Linked DNA regions of Arabidopsis thaliana. The protein of the gene in region 1 interacts with the protein of each later gene in a pairwise test. Each region holds a gene or a part of one and is shown in the gene's direction. Other genes may lie near its edges. The genes, in order: RPN10 and AT5G45620.

Region 1 (5,392 bases):
TACGGGAACTCCTCTTCCTTCACCTACGATTTCACCTCTAGCTCCTGCGTCAAAAATTCTACCTTTACGAAAATTTCGGATGGGTACTACTGGGCTTCTTCGAGTGTCATGTACGGCATGGTTTCTTCGTCTGATCCAGTCTTTGAGAAGGATTTGATCTGGACACTTGTTGTAACGCTTATTTTAAGCGTGCCCTTCTGTTTTAGCGTCCTGCTTTTGCTCAAACACTACACTAAGCAGATTGTTTATGCTTGTTTACCTCTCTTTGTCCTTTTTCCCATCTTTTTCAATGTCTATTGGTTTGTCGCCTGTACTCTTAGCTCTTCTTGTAGCGATGCCCTCCCTCTAGCTTACAGAATACTTGTCCTAGTCTTTGTTTTCTTGATCATCGGGATCATTGTCTGGATCATAGTAGCTAATTGGCACAGAATTGATCTTACTATCCAAATCATCAGTGTTGCATCTGATGCCTTGTCCAAAAATTTGAAACTTTTTGTTGTGCTGCCGCTGCTGACTCTCGGGTTAGTGGTGTACTATGCGCCGATTGTGGTGTTCTTGGTGTTTGCAAGGTTTAATGGGAAGTTTGTGCCGCGAGAGTTGGATGGTCAGTACTTTTGTGAGTGGAAAGAAGATTCTTGGGTTCCTGCGTATTACGCTCTTGCCATTTTAACGATGATCTGGTCTCTTGCTGTAATGGTGGAAATGCAAGTGTATGTGATAAGTGGAGCTATTGCTCAGTGGTATTTCTCCAAGGAAGACTCAATCCCTAAAAAATGCATCCGGAGTTCTTTGAGGTGACTCGCTGCCACATCTTTCTCTATTTTATTCTTGTTATCAATGAATTTGCTGTGCAGTTTCTCTTACAATCAATGGTGCTCTTAGTTCTAATATATGTTTTGTGTGATCGCGGGAGTTTTTGCTTTGAGTTCTCTTAGTTTTGTTTCCTCATAAAATATAATCTATGGTCATTCGAAGTATCCCTTGCTTGGCTTCGTTCTGGAGTATTCAGTGATTCTAGGTCATGGTATTCATAGTCTTGGCCTTATAGATTGGATATTGTATTGGAATCCATCATCTGAACTTGTTTGGTACTTTAAATGTGAAAAGAGACAACAGACAGTGGTATTTTTGAAAGGAGATTATAGCTTTGAGGATCCAAATTTGCATTAGTCTTCAAATCTGTTGTTGGTTTATGTCAAAGCATGTGTGAATCTTATTATTTTTTGTATCTGTCTCTTCAGGAATGCATTTGGTCAATCCTTTGGTACGATATGTGTATCAGGACTTCTCATATGCATTGTTCGTGTGGTCCGGGCAATTGTGGACAATGCAAGAGAAGAGAACACACAAGGAATAGTGAACATGGTTCTCCGTTGCTGTGCAAACGCCTTACTTGGTGCCCTTGACTATCTCAACAAGTTCACCATCAACTTTGCTGCAATAACAGGGGAAGCGTATTGCACCTCTGCGAAAATGACTTACGAGCTGTTAAGACGCAACCTACTGTCAGCTGTATTTGTCGAAACGGTTTCCACCAGAATCCTAACCGGAATAGTCTTTGTCCTGTCAGCCGCATATGCAGTCGCGGTAAGTATTATCTTCTGCTTGTCTCACCAACCAAGCATTTAATAATTGCCATAATGACTAATTCCGGGGTTTGATGATGCGCAAAAGCAGACATGGGCTGTTCTGAGAGGAGTGAGCAACCTGGGTATAGATTCGTACGTGGTGGCTGTACTGGCGTGGGTGTTACTGATTGTGATATTGGCTTTCTTTGTACATGTTCTTGACGATGTGATTGACACAATCTATGTCTGTTACGCGATTGATAGAGACAAAGGGGATGTATGTAAGCAGGAAGTTCACGAGGTTTATGTTCACTTGCCTATCAGCAGAAGCACAAGATCTTCTCTCATCCCAAATGCTCTTAATGCATAGCAGAAGATGATCCAACGTCTCTGCTTGTTGTATCTTTTTTTGTTTGTTAGCACCGTTGTAAATTCCTCTCTGGTGAACTGTGGTTTGTCTTCTTGGGGTTTATATTGATGTTTTGTAGAGTTATGGGGTAACAATGTTGAATAAAAGAAAGACTTTAGTTATAGGAATTACTGTAATGTGGTCTGTGTTTCTTTTATTCATTAATAAATCAACTTTGTTTTGCTTTTTATCAAAAACAACCATTGGGGCTAAATTGAAATAAACGTAAAACATTAGGGTCTAAAAGGAGAAAGTAAAAAAGTAAAGGGGATATTTAAAGAAGAACAATGTTATTATTATCGGTCTAAACTAAAATCTAAATCTTGCCTTCCTGACTTTCTCTCTACGACAGAATTTTTGAAGCTTCTCTCTGCTTATCGACACGATGGTTCTCGAGGTGATTTTCCAATTACTTGTGCTTATCTTCGTTGATGATCCACGTTGAATGCTTTTTCTCATCGATGATTTCTTGTTGTAGGCGACTATGATATGTATCGACAACTCCGAGTGGATGCGAAACGGAGATTACTCTCCGTCTAGGTTACAGGCGCAAACGGAAGCTGTTAATCTTCTTTGCGGAGCCAAAACCCAGGTAATAATTTACGTTTTTTCACTTGATTCGATTAGGGTTTTTGGGTTTGCGTGAGATTGTGATTTTTAGGGATCTTTCTTTTTTGCAATTGCAGTCGAATCCGGAGAATACGGTGGGGATTTTGACAATGGCTGGCAAAGGAGTTAGAGTATTGACTACTCCTACCTCTGATCTTGGCAAAATTCTGGCCTGTATGCACGGTATGTATCTCTCTCTCCAATCTTTCTATTTATTATTAGCTGTCTACTTAGAGCAATTAGAAAAAATCTGTTCTTTCTCTTTATCATTGAGTTTGACATCAATTTGCTACTTGCGTCATCTTTTCAGGCCTTGATGTGGGAGGAGAGATCAACTTAACCGCAGCTATCCAGATCGCCCAGCTAGCTCTTAAGCATCGCCAAAACAAGAATCAACGCCAAAGGATTATTGTTTTTGCTGGAAGGTACCGAATTGCTTTGTTTTTGCTGAGTAACTTTTGTATAGTTTTATACTGATGTTTTTCTTCTGCTTCTACTTTTTAGTCCAATCAAGTACGAGAAGAAGGCCCTAGAGATAGTTGGAAAAAGGCTGAAGAAGAATAGTGTCTCTCTTGATATTGTCAATTTCGGGGAGGATGATGATGAGGAAAAGCCTCAGAAACTCGAGGCGCTCCTTACAGCTGTGAATAACAATGACGGTAGCCACATTGTTCATGTTCCTTCTGGAGCCAATGCTCTCTCAGATGTGCTTCTCAGGTACCATCCCTTTTCTTCTTTTTTTCTAGGTTATGTAGATTGTAAAAGGAACAGTTTCAACAATATCCGGCTTGGTAGGTGCACTTCATGTGGTTTTGTGTGTTTAGGTCTTTTGAGCTCTCTAGTCTTGCTTTTTATCAATGCTGCAACAAAACATTTAGACAGTGATTTGAATCATAGATAGTGTTTTAACTTTTAAATTTTCTTCCAGCACACCTGTATTCACGGGTGATGAGGGTGCAAGTGGCTATGTTTCTGCGGCAGCTGCTGCAGCGGCCGCAGGTGGGGACTTCGACTTTGGTGTGGACCCAAATATCGATCCAGAACTTGCTCTTGCCCTTCGGGTCTCCATGGAGGAGGAGAGAGCAAGACAAGAAGCTGCTGCCAAGAAGGCGGCCGATGAGGCAGGTCAGAAAGACAAAGATGGGGACACAGCTTCCGCCTCACAGGAGACAGTTGCTAGGACAACTGACAAGAACGCTGAACCAATGGTTAGTTGTTACTTAAAATTGAGTGTAGCATTCTTATATAGTCACAGGCGGAGAGATTGTTAATCATACAACCTTTTGTGGCAGGATGAGGACAGTGCGTTGCTAGATCAGGCAATTGCTATGTCTGTTGGTGATGTGAATATGTCAGAAGCGGCTGATGAGGACCAGGATCTGGCTTTAGGTAAGTAGAACAGTGTGGTAAAAGTATATCCATGGCAATCAAAATTGGCATTTTTCTTATATTTTTTTATACTCCATGTGCAGCTCTGCAAATGTCAATGAGTGGGGAAGAGTCAAGTGAAGCTACAGGTGCTGGAAACAACCTCTTGGGAAATCAAGCCTTCATATCGTCTGTTCTCTCATCGGTAAGCCTACATAAACCTTAGTCAGTTTTTTTCACAAGCAAAATGAAAGAGAAAAGTAGTAGGGTTAGCTTTGGTACTAAGACTTTGTGTACACGCAGCTTCCTGGGGTGGATCCAAATGATCCGGCAGTTAAAGAACTACTAGCGTCTCTGCCAGACGAGTCAAAGGTGTGTCTTTGTTGATGTTTATGATTACATCTTTTTGTTATTTGAAAAAGAAGATTCTGATAAATGTATATGGTTAAAATGACAGCGTACCGAGGAGGAAGAGAGTAGTAGCAAAAAAGGCGAGGATGAGAAGAAGTGAAGAAGGATCTGAGAGTCTCAATAAAAATTCCTCTTGTTTCTTTGGTTTGATAGAGATTGGAACTGAATTTAACTAATCTCTCTGCCTTGTGAAATTTGTTTTTTTCTCTCTCTCTCGCCTTTTTATAATGTTGTTATTGTACGAGTCAAGGACTAGCTTCCTTCTTAATTTTTATTGGACTTTATGTCAATGGGCTCTTAGAAAGTAAGCCTATTTGTTACAGGTCTCTCGATCAATTCAGTAGAATAGCGAGTCCTAAATTCGTAATGAACCTTGCACAAGTGTCAAATCTGAAATATTCTTACGACAGTGCAAAAAGTCTACATTGGTAATTAAATTTTGCTCACATTTCTGCGAAGTTATGTTTTTCTCCAAGTAATTAAAGTCCCACGTGGCAGTTAGGTACTTAATTCCTTTGTTCTACTGTTGGCTCGTTTTTTTGTTCTTTGCAATCTAATTTTTATATGCGCTTATTAGTCTGCTAATTGCAATCTATTTGCATTATTTAATTTATATTTATCCCAAGATATGTGTATTTGTCTGCTAATTGCCACATGCGAGCTGTAGTTTTGATCATCTACGTACGTGTAAACTATGCTACACAAACAAATTGAATTGCTAAATATGACTATCGTTAAAGACTTTTTATTGGGGAAACTTATTAGTGACGAAATTTCTTTGTTCCCTTTTAGAGCAAGAAAGGGAAAGACAAAAAGAGTCACAAGACTCACAAACTATAACATAAAAAAAAAGAAAGAAGAAAAACTGATAGAAGCTTCTATTGCATCTACCTAACACCTTTTGAAAAAGTCGTTTCTTTACAAATGAAAATGAATAATATTAGAAAGAAGAAGGAAGAGGAGGCAGGTGCGTCTGTCTTTGTTCACTTGTGTCTGTGTGTGTGGTCATCCTTTTGTCCTTTTCCCC
Region 2 (5,379 bases), on another chromosome or scaffold:
AGAGAGTTCTCTCGGCGGAGAATAGCTTAAGAAAGGATCAGGAACTTGAATTTGTTTCCGTTGTTGTCCCGCTGAGGATTGTAACTGCATAGGGTGAGATAAAGACGATGAAATCTTCGTCGATGGCGGAGGAGCCGGTAGAAACGTTGGAAGATACGGAGGAGGTAGGGGGCGATACATATCGGCTTTTTTCAGGGTGGTTTCGATTGAATCGATGGCGAGGAGAAATTCGTCGTTAAATTCTTCATCATTTCCACTCATTCTCTTTCTCTCTATCGCTCGAATGACTGATAGCGAGTGAGTGGGAAAAGAGGCGAAATCGAAATACCCATTTAGTGAGCAGTACGCCTGACACGAATTCGGATATCCGGAACAATTGTGATATTTGTTATTCGATTGGTTTTAACGGAATATCTGATTTTGTGATTTACTTTAATTCAAAAAAATTTGGATATCTGAATTTTTATGTGATATTTTCGAATATCCATTTTGATACTGACATATTGTACATGTAAATATTAAACAAGACTGTAAACTATATAACAATATCAGATATTCAAATTTTTCATTTAACATGCTTTCAAAATAAATTTTAAATAGCAAACATAACCGTTGTTGTTATCACCGGTCATCAAGTTGTTGTTATCACCGGTTATCAAAATGTTATCTAATTAATTCCAAAACATAACCTAATAGATTAAATTGTCATTGATCAAAACATAACATAAAAGAAAAATGAGCAAATAAACATCTTAACATGAAAACATAAGGTAACAACAATATACAAACTATTTATGATATCTATATTTACGGATCCATCGTAAATAATCATCTTTCGCTTTAAAGTTTTTGATGGAGCAGTCGGTAAAACTTAGGATCCAAAAAACTTTTTGTACTATTACTATTATTTATGGTTAAAATTCTCTTTTTCTTATTAACTTGATTTCTTTATGTGTTTTATATTATTTTTATAAATAATTGAAAATCATTTTTAAAATTTGCAATATTTTATTAATATTGTAAAATACCGTCATAATAAAAATTATTATGGTAAACCATAAATAAGATTATTTAGTAATCAAATGACATTGATCTAATATTTATATTTTTCTTTTCTGAAAAAAACTTTCTGGTTCGTTTCTGTTCCGGTTTTCAAAACTCTGTCCGGTCATGTGGAATGCTAAATTACAAATCCACCTTATTATAATTTAAATTACATAAATACCCCTTAAAACTCACATATTTATACTTTGGTCCCGGTAGTTCTCTTTTCTTTTTAAATTAAAGGATTATCTGCTTAGCAAAAAAGAAGAAGAGAAAAGGCAATGTTTTGAAACCCGACCCGGACGATGAACCGGACTACCTTCTGGGTCACCGGGTCACCGGGTCAACCGGGTTGGACCACGGGTTAATTAGTTAAAATTTATTTAATAAATTTAATATTAATAGAAAATTTAGAGTATTTTATAATAAAAAAATTTGTAGTATTTATAAATATAAAACAAAAATAATCATATCATATTTAATCAAATATAAAATTATATTATATTTAACAAAATATAAAATCATTTACACCCAAATATATATATATATATATAGAAAAAATCAAACAATAATAATAAAGTGGTTAAAAATTTGAAATCCAATAAATGTCTAACACCGTAACAAATATATTAGGAGATCATCAATGACATAAATAAATTAATAAAACATCGTGAATTAAAACAACTAATCTCGGTTGTCTCTCTCACCATTCGATTCAATTTTAAGGCGGTATTGTAAAGTCTTCAACAAAATCTAAAACATCAAATGAATTTAAGAACTGAAAAAACTTCTAAAAATAATTGAATAAAGTCTAAAATCCCATATTTTATTGTAAAATCAAGAGAACTTTTTAAAACCCACACCCGGCCGGTTCAACCGGTTCACCGGGTCACGGGTTAATTGCGAGTTTTTGTGGGTTTTTTCGGTTTTGAACTTGTTGGGTTTTAGCACTAAACCCAAACCGGAAAAGTGTTCGGGTTACGGGTTAACCGGTCGGACCGGACGGTTCGGGTCGGGCGTGAAAACACTGAGAAAAGGGTTTTTTAGGATTCTTTAAACGCAGAGCTGAGCTGAGTTACATAAGATCGAGAGAATTCGCAAACTCGTTTCTTCATTCGTCTTCGTCTTTCGCCATGGCTGCTCTACAATACTTGGAATCTCTGAAAAATACGCATCCAGAGCTCGGCGAATGGTACAATTCCCTTGCAGATCTGTATCAGAAAAAGCTCTGGCATCAACTCACCCTTAAGCTCGAACAGTTCATCGCTCTCGCTGTCTTTCAGGTACTTTTGCTTCTCCTCCGTAATACTAATTGGTTTCAATATCTATCTAGGTTTAGTAGTGGTCCTTGTGGATTTTAGGGTTCATAGATCTCGACAAATATCGTAGAATCTGTGTTTTTACTTCCGAATAACACGAGTTAGAGATCCGTTTGGAAGATGATAGGGTTTTCTCGGATTAAGTTCTTCGAAGAAAGTTAGGTTTTAGGGTTTATAGATCAATTTTGATTGCTTCCAAGTTTTTGTGTCTGATCTTAACCTGTGTCATTGTTATAATATAATTTTTTTTCATTTCAGGCTGGTGATGCTTTGATTCAGTTCTATCACAATTTCATCACTGACTTTGAGACGAAGATCAATCTTCTGAAGCTTGCGCATTTTGCTGTGGTGGTCTCTCGACAGTACTCTGAGAAAGAAGCTGCAGTTAGCTATCTTGAAAGCGTGATTGAGAAACTTAGAGCTACTAAAGAGCCTAGGATTACTGAACCAATCATTTATATTGAAACACAAAAAGCTTTATTCAAGCTTGAGCAAGGTGATCAGAAGGAGTGCAAAAAAATCTTGGACGATGGAAAGAGCTCTCTTGATAGTATGACTGACATTGATCCATCAGTCTATGCCAACTTCTATTGGGTGTCTTCTCAGTACCATAAGTGCCGTCAAGAATTTTCTGATTTCTACAAAAGTGCTCTGCTTTATCTTGCATACACGTCTGTGGAGGACCTTTCAGAATCGTTTAAGCTGGTATGCCCCTGTAATATTATGTACCTTGTTCTTATATTTTGTTCTTATGTTAAGTTTCCTGTTAGCGATAGTGGATAAGAGTATTCAGAAATTTGATGAAATTTAGAGGAAACTGAAGAAAAAAGTTGCGTACTAGTTAGCTTCCCTAGAGTCACCGATCAAATTTTGCTAATGTCAGATCATATCTGTGTCTTTCAGGATTTGGCTTTCGATTTGTCACTATCAGCTCTACTTGGGGAGAACATCTATAACTTTGGGGAACTGTTAGCCCATCCCATTGTAAGTTTTCCTTCATCCTCGACATAAACTACTGTTATATTTTCTTGTGTAGATAAAAGGCTTCTTGTTGATCTTTAATTGCTTGGATTTACGATAGATACTGTTTGTGAGTTGAGACGGCTTCTAACTCTCATGTTATAGTTTTGCTTAGAATTGTAGATGGTTCTCTTACATGTAGCATTTCTCTGATGACAGTTGAAAAGTCTCCTTGGAACAAATGTGGAATGGCTCTACCACATTCTACAGGCATTCAACCATGGTGATTTAGTTCAGTATCAAGAACTATGCCGTGTGCACAACGCATCCTTGATTGCTCAACCAGCACTTGTTGAGAACGAGAAGAAGCTTTTGGAAAAGATCAACATTCTCTGCCTTATCGAGATCATCTTCAGGTAAACTTTTCTCTAGGCAATTGTACCTCACGCCGTTTCAATCAAAGAAATAAAATCATGTGCTAATACATTTGATTTTAAACTCTACATCAGCCGACCCGCTGAAGATAGAACCATTCCTTTGAGCATCATCGCTGAGCGTACTAAACTTTCCATTGAAGATGTTGAGCACCTTCTCATGAAGAGCCTTTCTGTAAGTATTAGTATCTCCTTGCATTTTTCTCTCTTGTGTTCTTTTAGTACCCAAAAAACTCTGCAGCTTCCGGGTTAAAATCTGTTGTGGTGACCAAGGAAAGAGTTTGTCTGAGTGACCAACATAATGATACTGAACTACCTGTCATCTGATTAAGAACAACATAGTAAACATCACCATACGCATTGTATCTCTAGGTTTATGTATTTGCAGTTGTCGTCTTATTGCGTAATTTTGTTATAGAACTCAAATGATCTTGACTGGTTTTGTTCCTGACTTAGACATAGAATGATTGTGTATGCTTCTGTAGAATCTAAAGTGGAAAATGAATGATACAGGTGCATTTGATCGAGGGCATCATAGACCAAGTGAACGGAACAATTTATGTCTCATGGGCGCAACCGAGAGTACTAGGGATTCCACAGATCAAGGCTTTGAGGGATCAATTAGACAGTTGGGTTGACAAAGTTCACACCACTTTACTATCTGTTGAAGCCGAGACACCAGATCTTGTTGCAGCATAAGAGAAAAGAAAACCTTCTTCCTCCTTTTGAAGCTACTGAATGTAAAACACCATCTTCTCTGGGATTAGATTCAAGTTTTTTATTTCAGTCGTAGAAGAAATTACAATTGCTTTTTAATCTTTTGACTTCCATTTCAAGATGTCCGAAATTTCAGTTCTACATTTAGACTATTTTCATACATTTTTTCTTAAAACATGTCCTTGACAATCATTCATTATTCACATAACCATAACAAGTCAATCAGTTTATAGAAAAAGTCATCTGATAGGATCTAAACGTGGACTCACTCACTCTGAATAGTTGATTTGAGCCTAAAATTTGGGGATTCTCGCGGCTTCTGGCACTGGTCTCCGATTACGTCACTTCCCGATGATTTCATCTTGGACTCATAGCGCGTATACCAAGATTCAATTCCCAACAATCTCACTCCTTTCAAGGCGTTTCCGATCATTGTTACGTTGCACAGAACATTGTCTCTATGCACTCCTCATAACCCTGAAACACGTCACTACCGTTGGTATATTCTTTCTCCGACGCAATGGCTTTATCCTTATCGCTTCTCTTCCTCCTATGCCTGCTCATGGAAGCTATATTGCTTTAGGTTCAAAAGATTTACGTTTTTAGATGGCGTTTATGATTCCGGTGTGACTTCGAGAGTGTTAACCACTGTGGAGATGTGAATTCTAAGAAGTGAGAGTATATATGCGTGTGTCGTTGATGATGTATTGTACTACTAAATTTGTGCTCTAAACCATAACAGCTAGACATAATTCTAAATTTCATGTTATGGTAGGAAGATTGTTGATTTCATTGATCTAAAAGACTAAAAGTGAAAATGTATTATACTTTTGGTTTTGTGCATTGAGGGTCATCAGTTTAAGAAGCAAATGTGGACAAAAATTCTGCCATTCCATATCTCTTCA

What was found.
Region 2: the proteins of RPN10 (region 1) and AT5G45620 interact in a two-hybrid assay, tested with the Arabidopsis thaliana proteins (one study listed by BioGRID).

Annotation. Positions count from the first base shown.
Region 1 is NC_003075.7:18,056,430-18,061,821, reverse strand, and holds RPN10 (regulatory particle non-ATPase 10), read left to right. Parts: upstream 1-2,223; 5' UTR 2,224-2,362; coding exon 2,363-2,374; intron 2,375-2,455; coding exon 2,456-2,569; intron 2,570-2,663; coding exon 2,664-2,769; intron 2,770-2,896; coding exon 2,897-3,011; intron 3,012-3,090; coding exon 3,091-3,303; intron 3,304-3,514; coding exon 3,515-3,794; intron 3,795-3,878; coding exon 3,879-3,975; intron 3,976-4,058; coding exon 4,059-4,159; intron 4,160-4,257; coding exon 4,258-4,326; intron 4,327-4,411; coding exon 4,412-4,465; 3' UTR 4,466-4,834; downstream 4,835-5,392. Other genes in the region: AT4G38640 (Plasma-membrane choline transporter family protein), read left to right, coding at 1-794, 1,242-1,587, 1,678-1,938. UniProt on the Arabidopsis thaliana protein: Plays a role in maintaining the structural integrity of the 19S regulatory particle (RP), subcomplex of the 26S proteasome.
Region 2 is NC_003076.8:18,499,413-18,504,791, forward strand, and holds AT5G45620 (Proteasome component (PCI) domain protein), read left to right. Parts: upstream 1-2,073; 5' UTR 2,074-2,177; coding exon 2,178-2,327; intron 2,328-2,621; coding exon 2,622-3,068; intron 3,069-3,266; coding exon 3,267-3,347; intron 3,348-3,542; coding exon 3,543-3,739; intron 3,740-3,832; coding exon 3,833-3,932; coding exon of another isoform or gene 3,933-4,010; exon of another isoform or gene 4,011-4,270; coding exon 4,271-4,456; 3' UTR 4,457-4,732; downstream 4,733-5,379. Other genes in the region: SUV2 (protein dimerization), read right to left, coding at 1-261. UniProt on the Arabidopsis thaliana protein: Acts as a regulatory subunit of the 26S proteasome which is involved in the ATP-dependent degradation of ubiquitinated proteins.